Rattus norvegicus: one gene and its partner. The protein of the gene in region 2 purifies or fractionates together with the protein of the main gene of each other region. This does not show direct contact. Links are inferred from orthologs where the notes say so. Each region holds a gene or a part of one and is shown on either strand. Other genes may lie near its edges.

Region 1 (6,357 bases), about 86 Mb from region 2:
CAATAATAGAACTAATTTTAAATTACTAGTCAATAAATCACTTTCTCTTCTACTCTGGTTTTATGATATTCAAAGATATTATCTTTCTTCATGACCAAATGAGTAGGCCTGAATTTTTTTCCCCTGAAGCTTGTAATGCCTTCAATGTTCTGACAAACATTTACTTCTATCAAATATCTTCCTTAGTATTCAAGAAATATTCAGGGCTGCAGACATTGCTCAGTGGTTAAGAACCCTGACTCTGCTTCCAGAGGACCTAAATTTGGTTCCTAGAACCCCAATTTGATGGCTTACAACCTTATGTCAGTTCAGTTCCAGGGGACCCAACACCTTTTTCTGGCTTCTGGGGGCAGCTGTACACATATGACATACAAAACACATACAAATAAGTACAAATAAAGTAAGATGAAAGACAGATTAAGGCAAGCAATGTGACAGGCACCTGTAATTCAATTCTGAGGAGACGGAGGCAGAAGGACCGTACCAGCATGCCATGCAGCAAACACCTTATCTTAATCAAAAGCAAAAATAAAGCGTCTATTTGTCTCATGTGTGTCAGGGGACCTGGGGGGGGGGGAGAATCAGGCTTTTTTGGAAGAACTTGGACCTAAGAATGCAGGAAGGTCTCAAGGCGGAGAAAAGCACCAACTTTTCAGCACCAGGGACAGAGCCACGGGCGCCCTCAGCACCCTGGACAGAGCAAGTGGTCGTGCCTGCCGGGGAAATCCAACCAAGCTAGAGTCTGACCAAGAGAAGCCTGAATGCTCACCTCGTCTTTCTTCTTCCCTTCAGAAGACCTCAACCACCAACTTATGAACTTCAAGAGCAACTGTATAAGGAACAGTAAAGGCGTTACTTAACGGGACCGGGTTCTGTAAGTGAAATGACTCTGGTTGACACACTCAGACGACTCCAAAAAGACCTAACAGTCCCTAGCTGAGAATAGGACACTGTTAGTGATACTTTAGTTTTTCGACTAAGTAGCACAAGGCTACTTACTGTCATCCTTTCCATCCTCCAAAGCTCTATCTCGGAATTTTTACGCTCATCAAAGCGGTTCGTAGAAAAGAGGAGGAAAATATTCCTCATGGTCCGTCTACCCATCGTCCGTTTCCCTAGCCATCATCTTTTTTCCTCTTTCTTAGATAGGCATTTGCTCATGAACGTGCACTTACACATGCACAACTGCAGCGTGTGGACCACAAGAGATTCTACACACTTGTGGAGAAGACTGAATTCAGGATAAGCTGATGCCTCTGAAAGCAGGCTCTGTCCCTTTAAATGGGTTGTAGCTGTGGGGGAGGGGAACTGACCGGAGCTGGCATTGTCCAGTTTGAACTGAGCACCGGAAGTGAAGGGGCAGGGCCAGGGCCGTGCACTGAGCCCCGGGCCATTGTCCATCTCTGACCAGGGCAGTGGCCACCCCTCTGGTCCACCCTCTTTATCTTCTAGTAGGGAGTTTACCTCTTCAAATGAGAAGCTTCCCTATTCACTCTTTGCACACCAGTCTACCCCGGAGGGTAGAGCAATTTAGGATGGTGACTGAGAACAGGAGGGACTGGGAATCAGAATGTCCCGGGTCCTGGAGGAAGTGCCTCCACCCACCAATCTATTCTCTGCCACCAACGGATGGGACAGGACGGGACTCGGCAGGCAGGGGCCCGATGAGAATGCAGCTAGCAAAGAGGGCACTCTTCAGGTTTCCACATGCTCTCCCAGGAAGCTCTACCTTGAACCAACTTTAGGTGTAGGCTTAGGAGGGAGCAAAGGACTCTTCACACAGAATCAATTAGGAGTTTGTTTCTGAATGGGACAAACCCAGAGAAAGTGATGTTGAAATTTGGAGATGGAGACATCCAGTTGCAGCCAGAAACAGGCCGAGTTTGAGAGGCAGCACCTGGGTTAAGACAGATCAGCTCTGTGGGGGCTCCAGCCGCTTCCCTGCACCCCTATCCCGGCTTCCTAGTGTCCAGAGCTCCAGGTCTATCTAAGCACACGGAGGTGGGGGGTGAGAGCAGGTCAGCGCCAAGCAGCCGGGTCAGCTCCGAGGCCTGAGGGGAAAGAGGGGGAGGGGCGCTGAGGGGCTGGGGGAGGGGGAGGGGGAGGGCTCATCCATTTTTCCCTTGACAGGTGGTTTGTGTTTCTGATTGGACAGCGCCACCAGGCTCACACCTCCCTCCCCCAACTCTCTGGAATGTATAATTATCTGCCCGGGGGGTGGGGTTGGTGTGTGTGTGTGTGTGTGTGTGTGTGTGTGTGTATATATGTGTGTGTGTGTGTGTGTGTGGTCACGTGGTTATAAAATTACCCCCCCCTCGGTCCCCCACCTGTGTCCGCTTTAGATACCCGCATTGAGTCCTCAAAGTGCAGGATCCCAAATTCTGGGGTACTGAAGACTTCTGGGGCAAAAGATCCCCATCTCCAGATGTGTGTATGTGGAGGGGGTGTCAAATCTCAAGGTTCTGGGAAGGGACACCCCAGAGGTGTCAGAGACCAGAGCAGTGGGGGAGGGCCGAAGCCAGAGCCAGAGGGAAAGGGAGGGGTAAGGAGAGAGGGGAGGGGAGGGGGCTGCCCGTGGGGGGTTGGGTCATTGTCTTTTAGAATTTGGGAGCCTTTGAAAAGCCGTGGGCCCTCCCACCGCTATTGTGCAGGGGAAGATGTAGCAGCCTCTTCTCCGAACCACCCCTTTGCCTCCGGACTTCTCTGGGGCCAGCAGCCGCCCGACCTGGGGCCCGGGGCCACGGGCTCAGCCGACGACCATGGGCTCGGTGTCCAACCAGCAGTTTGCAGGTTCGAGCTTGCGATTCAGCGGGCACACCTTAGGGTGCAGGGCGCCCAGTAGCTAAATAGAAGGGAGGTGGGAAAGTGTCCCACGGACTTGCCCGCGGGACCCCAAGTCCCCGTGGCCTCCTGCTTCTTGGGGCCATCTCTGGACTAGGGGAACCCTGGTGTTCCAGTGGCTTGTACGCGGAGCCCGTAGGGGCGGAGGGAGAGAAGAGGAGGGGCCTGTCCCGCCGCGTGTGCACGGGCAACTTGTTGTGGGAAGACAAGCAAAACTTTCGGGGCGTTAGCATCCTCGGTGTAAGCTTGGGGAGGCAGCTAGGACAGGTTTCTTCTTACCAGCCGCTTGGTAGCTGCTTCCTCCTGGGTGTCTATCCGCGGGCTGACCACCGAGATCTCCCAGACGGGTCCCTGAGAGGGCCTGCGATTCCTTGGTCCCCAGCTGATCACCTGGCCCTCCCTATCTCCAGGTGGCTGCGCCAAGGCAGCGGAGAAGGCGCCAGAAGAGGCGCCGGCTGACGCGGCCCGAGCGGCAGACGAGCCGCAGCTGCTGCACGGGGCCGGCATCTGTAAGTGGTTCAACGTGCGCATGGGGTTCGGCTTCCTGTCTATGACCGCCCGTGCCGGGGTCGCGCTCGACCCCCCGGTGGACGTCTTTGTGCACCAGGTGAGACTGATTCTGGAACTTTGCTAGGAAAAAAAAAAGACTGGGAGTTCCTATGTATGGGCTTGGCTGGTGGCCCCTCCTGTCCGATTGGAGGAGATAAAGGACCCTTATTGTGCGTCCCTGTCTTTTCCGGGGCACCCCAATTTTGAGTTTGTAGTAAGTGCGGTGGTGCAAGGAGGAGGCACTACTACCAGCACCCCCTCCCCGCCCCCTTCCGGGAACCCCTCCGGCTTACCACGTGTCTATTACCTCTTTCCCCTGGGAAGGGAGCAGGGGGCAGGGAGGTGACCCCATGTGGCAGAAACTAAGGTTGTATTGTGCTTGCCGGTGGGGGAGGGCGAGCAGGCTGACCAGGGAAGCACATGCAGGGCCTGAGCCGGGTGCTAGCGCCCTGAGTTCTGAATTTCTGAATCTAGTTTACAGGGAGAGTGAGCAATTTGCCACCTACCTACGGGCATGAACCTGCGACGTCAGGCTCTTCCCGTTTGAATACGGACCTCAGTCAGGTGGCCACCCAAAAGCCAGGTCCTGTGGCCAGTGTAGGTTTGGCAGATCCCGGAAGGATCAATGTGTAAGCTAAAAAGCTCCCCTAGAGGTCTGGTTGCAGATCAGGACTGGCAGGCACCTCTGGCTGTCCACCGGATCCTGCCAGGAAGGAAGAAGACCTTAAGAGCCTAGGCCTTCATTCCTGGCTGTGGCAATCCCAAGTTCTCAGTTAAAGAAGGGCAACGCGGTAGGGAGTGAAATTCAGTGTCGAGGGGGAAGGCGGTGGAGAGAGGACTGGCCTCTGGCCCTATTCTCCTCAGCTTGGCATTTATGGCCCCAGACAGCCATTGATTGCTGTCCCTAACATTCCTAACCCTAAACAAGGAAGGGAGTAGAGCCTTCAGGTTTCCCTCTTCCTGGCCATTCTCTTTCTTAATACCCTACGGGTGGTTCCAGTGCTGCCATTCCGCGGTGGAAAGGGAGTTCCTGCTCCGGCCCTTTCCACATTTGGTGGGTTAAGGCTGGACCAGGAAAGAAGTAATTGCTAATCCCTGGCCCAGGAGCTTGACACCCGGGCCGGGCAGGGAGGGGTTACTTCAGGGAGGTTAGCTTTAGGAGCTGTGGGGGAGGGGAAAGGAGGATGTGGGGATTAAGAGTTGGAGCCTGAGGGATGGCGTTCTTGAGGGGGAGGGGTGGAGAAGGAGATGCTGGGTGGACTGTTTAGGGGCTGCTGGGTAGGCTGAACTCGGCCCTTTAGTCAGGAGGTTGAGTGCAAACTAAATAGATTTGGGTTGAAGGGATTTGAGGACCAGCTCTTTGCTGTTGGTGTCCTAGGGTCACTGGGCCTTTGGAATATGTGCTTTCTTCCCGGACCTGTAGCAGTGCCCTTAACTTTTCTGCAACCCCCACCCCAATCACTACCACCAGACTGCTGGTTTCTGGATGGTGGCTTTGTACCCCCCAATCTTATTTGCATATGTGAATGATAACCCACAGGAAGTAATTGTGAGACTGGGAATTGGCCTCTTTAGATCTATTAAATCACTTTATTACAGGAACCGGCTCTGACCGGCCCTCCTCAGCGGGTGGCAAGCCTCCCCCCCACCCCCCCATTGGTTCATTTATCTGATCACAGAGATTAAAATATTTCCTGGTCTAGAGATGAGCTGGGGTATTTCTTCAATTTTGGGAGGCTGGGTATGAAGGAGGTTCCAGACTTTCTTGACTCCTTGCGGAGGTTAAGTGGGGAGGAACTGGGGAGAATGTCCCTTCTGATCGGAGGTTCACTGGTGTTGGGACAAATGGAGAAGCTGTGCCTCCCTTAGGATTCATAGCCACTGGAAAGTTACAGGATATCTCTGGAAGAAAGCAGCAGTCTTCGGTACAGACTAGCTCGGAAACCAGCCCACATTTGTGGATTTTGTGTTTGGTTTTTCTTTTTTTTTTTTTCTTTTTTTTTTTTTTTCTTTTTGAGAAGGGGGTCTCACTGTGTAACTGTGGCTGGCTTGGAATTTGCCCTGTCACCCAGGCTGGCCTTTAACTCGAGAGAGCTGCCTGCTTCTTTCTGCCTTCTGGATGTTGGGATTAAAGGCCTATACCAAGGTTCTTGGCTGGCAGCCATATTTCAAGAACTCAGTTACCTCTCTGCTCTCTAAACACTGTGACTGGTGTTTTACCATAACTTGCCTGGCCCACACCGTAGCAGTAAACTCGGTTGTTGAGCTGAGGTATCTCTTCAGGAGGAATGTGGTAGATACAGGTTAATCTCAAAAACTTGTTTACTTTGGAAGGGGGGAGCGTAGAGAGCGTAAGAAATCTCGAGTGGAACTTCTTCAGCTCCTGGACCCTAGTGATGGGGTAGGATTGCATTGGGGTGGGGGGAGGATATTGTCTCAAGATTTTGCCATGCCAGGGAGAGGGAGGGGTCAAGAAAGACCTTTGCAACATGGAGGTAATACAGAAACCACTCTCCTTGTGCTGATTCATATCCTCTCTTTTTAATATTTTGAGACAGCACCTTACACTGTAGTGCAAGTGTAGTCTGCAAGTCATTGTATAAATAGCCAAGGTGACAGATAGTTGAGTGACACCCTTTTACTTTGGTGTCACCAGTGCCTGACCTGTACACACTTCATTCTGTTCCCAGTAAGGAGTAGGCTGGGGATGAGGGGCTATGAAACAGGCTTCTCTTTTTTTTTTTTTTTTTTTTGGGTTCTTTTTTTTTTTTTCCGGAGCTGGGGACCGAACCCAGGGCCTTGCGCTTCCTAGGTAAGCGCTCTACCACTGAGCTAAATCCCCAGCCCCTTTTTTGGTTCTTTTTTTTTTGGAGTTGGGGACCGAACCCAGGGCCTTGCGCTTCCTAGGCAAGCGCTCTAACCACTGAGCTAAATCCCCAACCCAAAGGAGAGCATCCTGACCCACAC
Region 2 (6,166 bases):
ACCACCCACTCTAAAGGCTCGTAAACTCCAAATTATAGCCACGCCTTTTGTGGTGCACATGCCTTTACTCCCAGCACTTTGGCAGCAGAGGCATGCAAATCTCTTGAGTTTGAAGCCAGCATGGTCAACACAGCCAGTTCCACAACAGTCAGGGCTACACAGAGAAACCAGCGGAGGTGGATGGGTGGAAAACAGACAAGAGAACACAACAAACTAACAAACAAGCAAGACACCAAATAATTTTCTCCCTGCAACAGGAACCTAATGTCACAAGGATACATTGTACTATTTCCTATACCCTTATTAGAATCAGATGTGTAATTTGGATCAACAAAGTAGACAAACACACCGTAAAAGAAAAAAGTAACTTTGACTCTACAAACTTAAAACAATTTAAAATGACTAAAAATATCACCTCTGAAACAAAGTATACTGTCCCTAAGTAGAACAAACTTTTTATACAGTTAAGTTTAAAAACATCAGTCACAGTAAAATATAAAGACCTAAGTAGAAGAAGAAAGAATAGGCTATCTGGATTTTGACTTTGAATAATCCAAAAACTTCTTAATAAGACAGTATACTTAACACTGATAAAATGTATATCCAACGTTAACTGGAGAGGTTCAGAGATACTGTTAAGGAATCTAAGACTGCCAGACATGATATTTCCCTTGGGGGAAGGGGGGTCAGTGGGATCACATAGCCAGGACATAGTAGTTCCAGCCTGAATGGCATAGTTCTAGACAGCCACAGAGACCCTGTCTCAAAAATAAACAGAGAGTCTAAGACTGAGTTAGATTTGGTACTTTCCATTTACAATACCTCTGTCTGTGTTTCTAAATGACAGGAATTTCTTGACTAGCTACCTTGTAATATCTCTGTGAATCCCCAATAGTATAGTCCTAACAGAAATGTTGAAAGTGGTCCAGTAAGGTATGAGCCTCATAACTTCTACCCTTATTTTCTCTCTTTTAGCAACAGTGACCTCTTTGCTATCTGTTCTCTAAACATGACAGAAATGCTCTAACTTTAACTCGTGGTTTCCTTTGGACCTCTGCTTTCTCCAAACATCCACATGGCCTATCCTTACATCACTGTAATCTGCAAGTCGAACTTACCTGACCAGCTTCTCTCTCACTTTGGTCTCTGTACCCTTTACCTCACTTTATTCTCCACAGCCTCATGACCATATAATGACTTACACTATACTGTTGTGGATTTTGTCTTAATACAGGAGGGGGAACCTCCACTGTTTTACTGCCTACTACTGTACTGCAAGTACAGAAGCTAGGAAATTGTTTAGTAAGTCCTGATTAGATTATACAGCTGTTTTTGGTATCAACAGGGCTCCAACTCAGATACCAAAATTGAATGATGCTCAAGTCCCTTATATAAAATAGTGTTGGTATTTGCCCATGATCTATGTATACTGTGATACTTTACATTATCTCTACATTCCTTATCATATAATACAAGTGTTATATACATAGTTGTGACATTATATCATTTAGGAAATAACAAGGAAAAAAATTAACTAACTACAGGTTCAGTACTGACACCTTTCAAGTATTTTGGAACCACATTGCAGAATTCAAGGATAGAGAGAATGAAGATGCAGAAGGCCGACTATACACAGCCCAGCATAAGGAACATCAGAGTAGAGTTGACAATAACCAGAAATGCTTAGGTCTGGTTAACTTTGATTTCTTTAAAATTCCTAGCCACCTCTAAAAAAGTTGTCTATATATATATATGAACTGCAGACACTTCACTAAAAAGCAGCCCAATTATTTTTTATTTAGCTCACTAAACTGATTATTTAACTCTAAATAAAGTATATCTCCATATGTCTACAATTGGAGGAACTATAAACAGCCTCTCTACCACTAAATGATTTGCTATACTGAATTTCGATTAACAAATGCTTAATTGTATGTCACTTTGTTCTATCTACTCTCTAAGGTTTCTGTACCCAGACCCAACTGAAAAAATGATTCAGCCGCTAGCTGGTAAAAAAAAGCCAACACAACCAAAATTTGCAAGCCTTCTAAGCAAGCCATAAGAGGTTTTCTATATATTCATATTCTAATTCTCCAGTGACACCCTCACTTTAGGGGTAACCTGGAAGTGAGAGAAAAAATGGAGACAAGAGAATGGAAAGAACTAGGATGAAGACCAAGGACAAATTCTCTGATCCCAAGCAGATTAGTTCAGTAGTCAGATACAAAGCAGAGAAAAGCTGTATTCCCTGTGCTCTGTACATGAATTACATAAGAAGCCATCATGTTAAATACAAAAACAAAATCAGGCAAGCAGAGCAGCTATGCTGATGTGGTGGGAGTTCCGACTTGCTCTGATGTATCAGGGCATTCTCTCAGGTACTGCCTAGCAAAAACCTGGTGGTCCACTTTAAAACTATGTGTGATTCTACTTGGTTGTCTTAACATTCCAAGGAAGGAAGCTACCCAATTAATTTGGAGGGGGGGGGCGGCTTTTTTCTTAATGACGTCAACATTTATCTGTATCACCTTTGAGACATTGACAGTTGGTAAAACAAACAGCATCATGAACTACTTACTGGTGAGCACAGTATCTCATTTAGTCCTCGTAGAAATCAAAAGGCTTAGTATTGGAGGGCATATGACCATGACAAGATCACATAGTAAATAGCAGATGTCGAGCTTTGAACCTAAACCCTTGGGTTCTAAAGTTTTTTCTTGTCTTGATCATTTGGATCTAACATACATTTCAAAGAGGAATTCACTAATATCAACAGCTCCAAGTTTCACTTCTGGGTATGGCTGTGTCCTTGAGAGGCAATAATGGTGCAAAATTGAGCTTGGCAACAAAATTTATGGCAACACGACAACCTCCTTGCCCGCGACTATCAAAACTGACATGAGAATTACTAATATGCTCAGGTTAGTTCTCCTGCACTTTCTTACACAGGGAAATAGGCTTAAAGTCAATCCAGCAAAACAGCATGTGTCTGTTTATTAGTGACCTCTGAGGTGTTGGTATTCTTTCCCTGAAGCCTAAGAGGGAAATCAGAAGGTGGCAGGTAGAGGGGTAGGGTTCAGATTGCAATACATCCGATCTCTGTCATAGCTTTGTTCTTTTCCCGTCTTCCCAGGGTCCTTTCCAAGTGCACCCTGGAGGGTTAAAATGAAAACACTGGTCCACTAGATCCCCGCCACTAACTGACCCTAAGGGGCAGCAGCAGACACGTGCGTTTCCACGATCAGTAGTGAGGGATTAAGTCTTCAGTGTCGCCGGACTCCAGGTCGGGTTTGCCCACGGGGTACACCAGGCCTTCCTTCCCCGTGACTGAAGGAGATGGGGCAGCAGGGAGGCCGTCGCTTTCCTGAAGCCACTATCCACACCCGAGCCAGTCGCCTCCCTTCGGGGCTCCTCGAACCCTCCCGGGGAGAAAGGACTCCTATTTGTTCCCTAGAGACCGAGGGCAGTCCGGCCTCTCAACTCTCACCTGGGTGCGGTGGCCAGGCCCAGAGCACTCACCATCGTTCTCGTAGCTGTGCCGCCTCCGCGACATGCTGCTTGCTGATGCGCAGCGGATCTGAGTTGCGGGTCGCCTGCAACACCAGAACCGTCGGGCTGCCGGCCGGCCGGTGCGCGGTCAGTGGCGAGGCGCGCGGACTGAGCGGCGCGCAGGCGCACTCGCTCACGACGCCTGCCGGAAGCGCGAGCGGAGAGGCACCGGATGGGTTTCGCGGTGGAAGGCCGGCGTCTGCAAGTCCAAGCTCAGCCGCCTCCTCCGGCTTTCCACTCTGGGACCTTCCGGACGGCGAGCTAAATTATCCGGGCTGCAACGATCCCGCCTCAGCTTTGCACAGGCCCAGCAGTATTTTCCCGGCGGCCCCTGCGCCGACGACTTTGGAGACTTCCGGAGATAGGTGACGTTTCAGGGACTTTCTACGCACGCGCGAGCCGGGGGGGGGGCGTGGGCTCCAGGGCGGGGAGCAGCGCCAAGTTGGAGAAGGGAGACCCAGGAAAGGCCTAGGTATTGCGGGTACGTGTTCTCGCTTTTGCCGTCTGGCTGTAGACGTCTCGGGAAAACTGAGCGGGGAAGAAGGGCAAGCCACTCTCAGCGGTAGGGGAGCCAGGCCCGCCCGGCCGAGCCTGCTTACTGCCGTCCTACTGCTCACCTCTTCCAGCTGACGGGCGCCTCAGCTATTGATCGGTCTGCATCCAATTGTTCTTCTGTCCCTCTGCACGTGTACAGTATGTGGACGTTTCTGCCCTGTGATGGGCACCAAACTGCCTTGTCCGTGGTCTAGCCAAAACTTTTCCTTCAGTCTTACCTGTTACAGCAAATGGCCGTTTCTGTAGTTTGCTTAATCCATGAATTTAGGGAGGAATCATTAGACCCTTCACTTCCTGTTTTACAGTTTTTCCACTAACACTGCCTGCTGTACTTTCAAAGCAAGTTATAACCACTTATTCACTATGTTTAAAACCCTTCATGGACTTAAAAAAAATTCTATGTGTTTGTTCCTGGGTGTAAGTTGTACACCACCCTGGAACTGGAGTTTCTGACTGACATGTGAGATGGGAGGAGGAGAGTGGGCGAGAGTCGGGTGGGGTGGGGTGCTGAGTCCTGGGTCTTCTGCAAGAGCAGTAGGCACTCTTAACCAATGAGCCATCGTTCTGGCTCCTCCTCCTCCTCCTCCTCCTCCTCCTCCTCCTCCTCCTCCTCTTCTTCTTCTTCTTCTTCTTCTTCTCTCTCTCTCTCTCTCTCTCTCTCTCTCTCTCTCTCTCTCTTAGATTGTCTTTTATTTATTCTTTTCATTTATTTATTCATACATATAAGCAATCCATCTTTCCAGGAATTTCTATTGCAAATTCCAAACTATGGCTTCTTGGGTTCTGTACCCATCATTGTGTATAAACCACTATGTTCTTCTGATAAGTCCAGATTGTTCACATTTTGGGAATTAAGACTTATTTACTTTACCTGATGGTCTCTGCTGTGAACCTACATGACTGGCCATCGGATACCTACAGAGTTATTTCTGACTCTTCAACTTTTGCTTTATTTTATTCAACAAGTACTATATTGTATTAATTGACATTTGTTACCTTCTGTACACAAGATGGTGTTCAGGATATTGAAGCTGTGTGGTAAACAAAGGGGAGTTTCTTTTAGAAGCCGAAGCCCTAAATGGACCCCTCAGGAATGACCACAGGCACTGTAGTCTGATTGACTTAATAGCGAAGGGAGAGTGGTACAAGTTGTGATCAGAAGAGCAGGGACTGGGGCTGGGGATTTAGCTCAGTGGTAGAGCGGTTACCTAGGAAGTGCAAGGCCCTGGGTTCGGTCCCCAGCTCCGAAAAAAAGAACAACAACAACAACAACAACAAAAAAAAAAAAAAAAAAAAAAAGAAGAGCAGGGACAAATTATCGGAATAGGTTGAGACTTTGGAAAAGTCCTCCAAGAAGGGAGTAGTTAAGCAATAGGTTACATCTCTGCCTGAAGTGAACCAATTCCAGCCAGATGAGGATATATTAAAGACGGGTTTATTGGGAAGCTGCTCTCAAGTGACTTCACTGGCTGCCAGCACCGAGGCCTGGAAAATCACTATGGGGATCGGGGAAGAAAGGACGCAGGAGCAAAGAAAGAAGGCAAGGAGGCCAAAATGTCTGGATTGTATATGCAAGAGCCTCTGGGGGAAGGAGCTGGAAAGTTCAAGATTGGGGCAAGGTATATCGGGTAGGGACAAAGGGATACTGGGAGAACCTGAAGGCCAGGTCTGCTTTGATATGTAAAATATGCACATATTTTGGTCCAAGGTCCTAAACCAAACATTAAGCATCACTAAATCAGACAAGAACTGCCAGAGCCATACACTGGGATGATGGTGAATGTAATTCAAGTGGATTGCTGACTTTCAAAGGATGGCAAAGCACAGGGCCTGGTATAGTGGCCCAGCATTCCAGAATCTTAAATTTAAGGTTACTAGGAGCTCAAGGCCAGCCCACCCCTACTATGTAGCAAGACCCAGTCTCAGAAAAATTAATTTAAAAACTAGGGCTTGACCCAGGCAGCATACACCAGCTGATAGGAGGCCCCCGACACATATATGGCAGAGGACTGCCTGGTCTAGCCTCAGTGAGAGAAGATGCACCTAACCCTGGAGAGACTTA

Evidence for each region. The genes of interacting proteins can lie anywhere in the genome.
Region 1: the proteins of Ncbp1 (region 2) and Lin28a purify together in Homo sapiens (affinity purification with mass spectrometry; 3 studies listed by BioGRID and IntAct, with this or other methods). This does not show direct contact. The link is inferred for Rattus norvegicus from reciprocal best matches to the Homo sapiens genes NCBP1 and LIN28A.

Annotation. Positions count from the first base shown.
Region 1 is NC_086023.1:151,524,212-151,530,568, reverse strand, and holds the start of Lin28a (protein lin-28 homolog A), read left to right. Parts: upstream 1-2,684; 5' UTR 2,685-2,759; coding exon 2,760-2,790; intron 2,791-3,251; coding exon 3,252-3,448; intron 3,449-6,357. UniProt on the Homo sapiens protein: RNA-binding protein that inhibits processing of pre-let-7 miRNAs and regulates translation of mRNAs that control developmental timing, pluripotency and metabolism.
Region 2 is NC_086023.1:65,209,088-65,215,253, reverse strand, and holds the start of Ncbp1 (nuclear cap-binding protein subunit 1), read right to left. Parts: upstream 3,623-6,166; 5' UTR 3,554-3,622; coding exon 3,520-3,553; intron 1-3,519. UniProt on the Homo sapiens protein: Component of the cap-binding complex (CBC), which binds cotranscriptionally to the 5'-cap of pre-mRNAs and is involved in various processes such as pre-mRNA splicing, translation regulation, nonsense-mediated mRNA decay, RNA-mediated gene silencing (RNAi) by microRNAs (miRNAs) and mRNA export.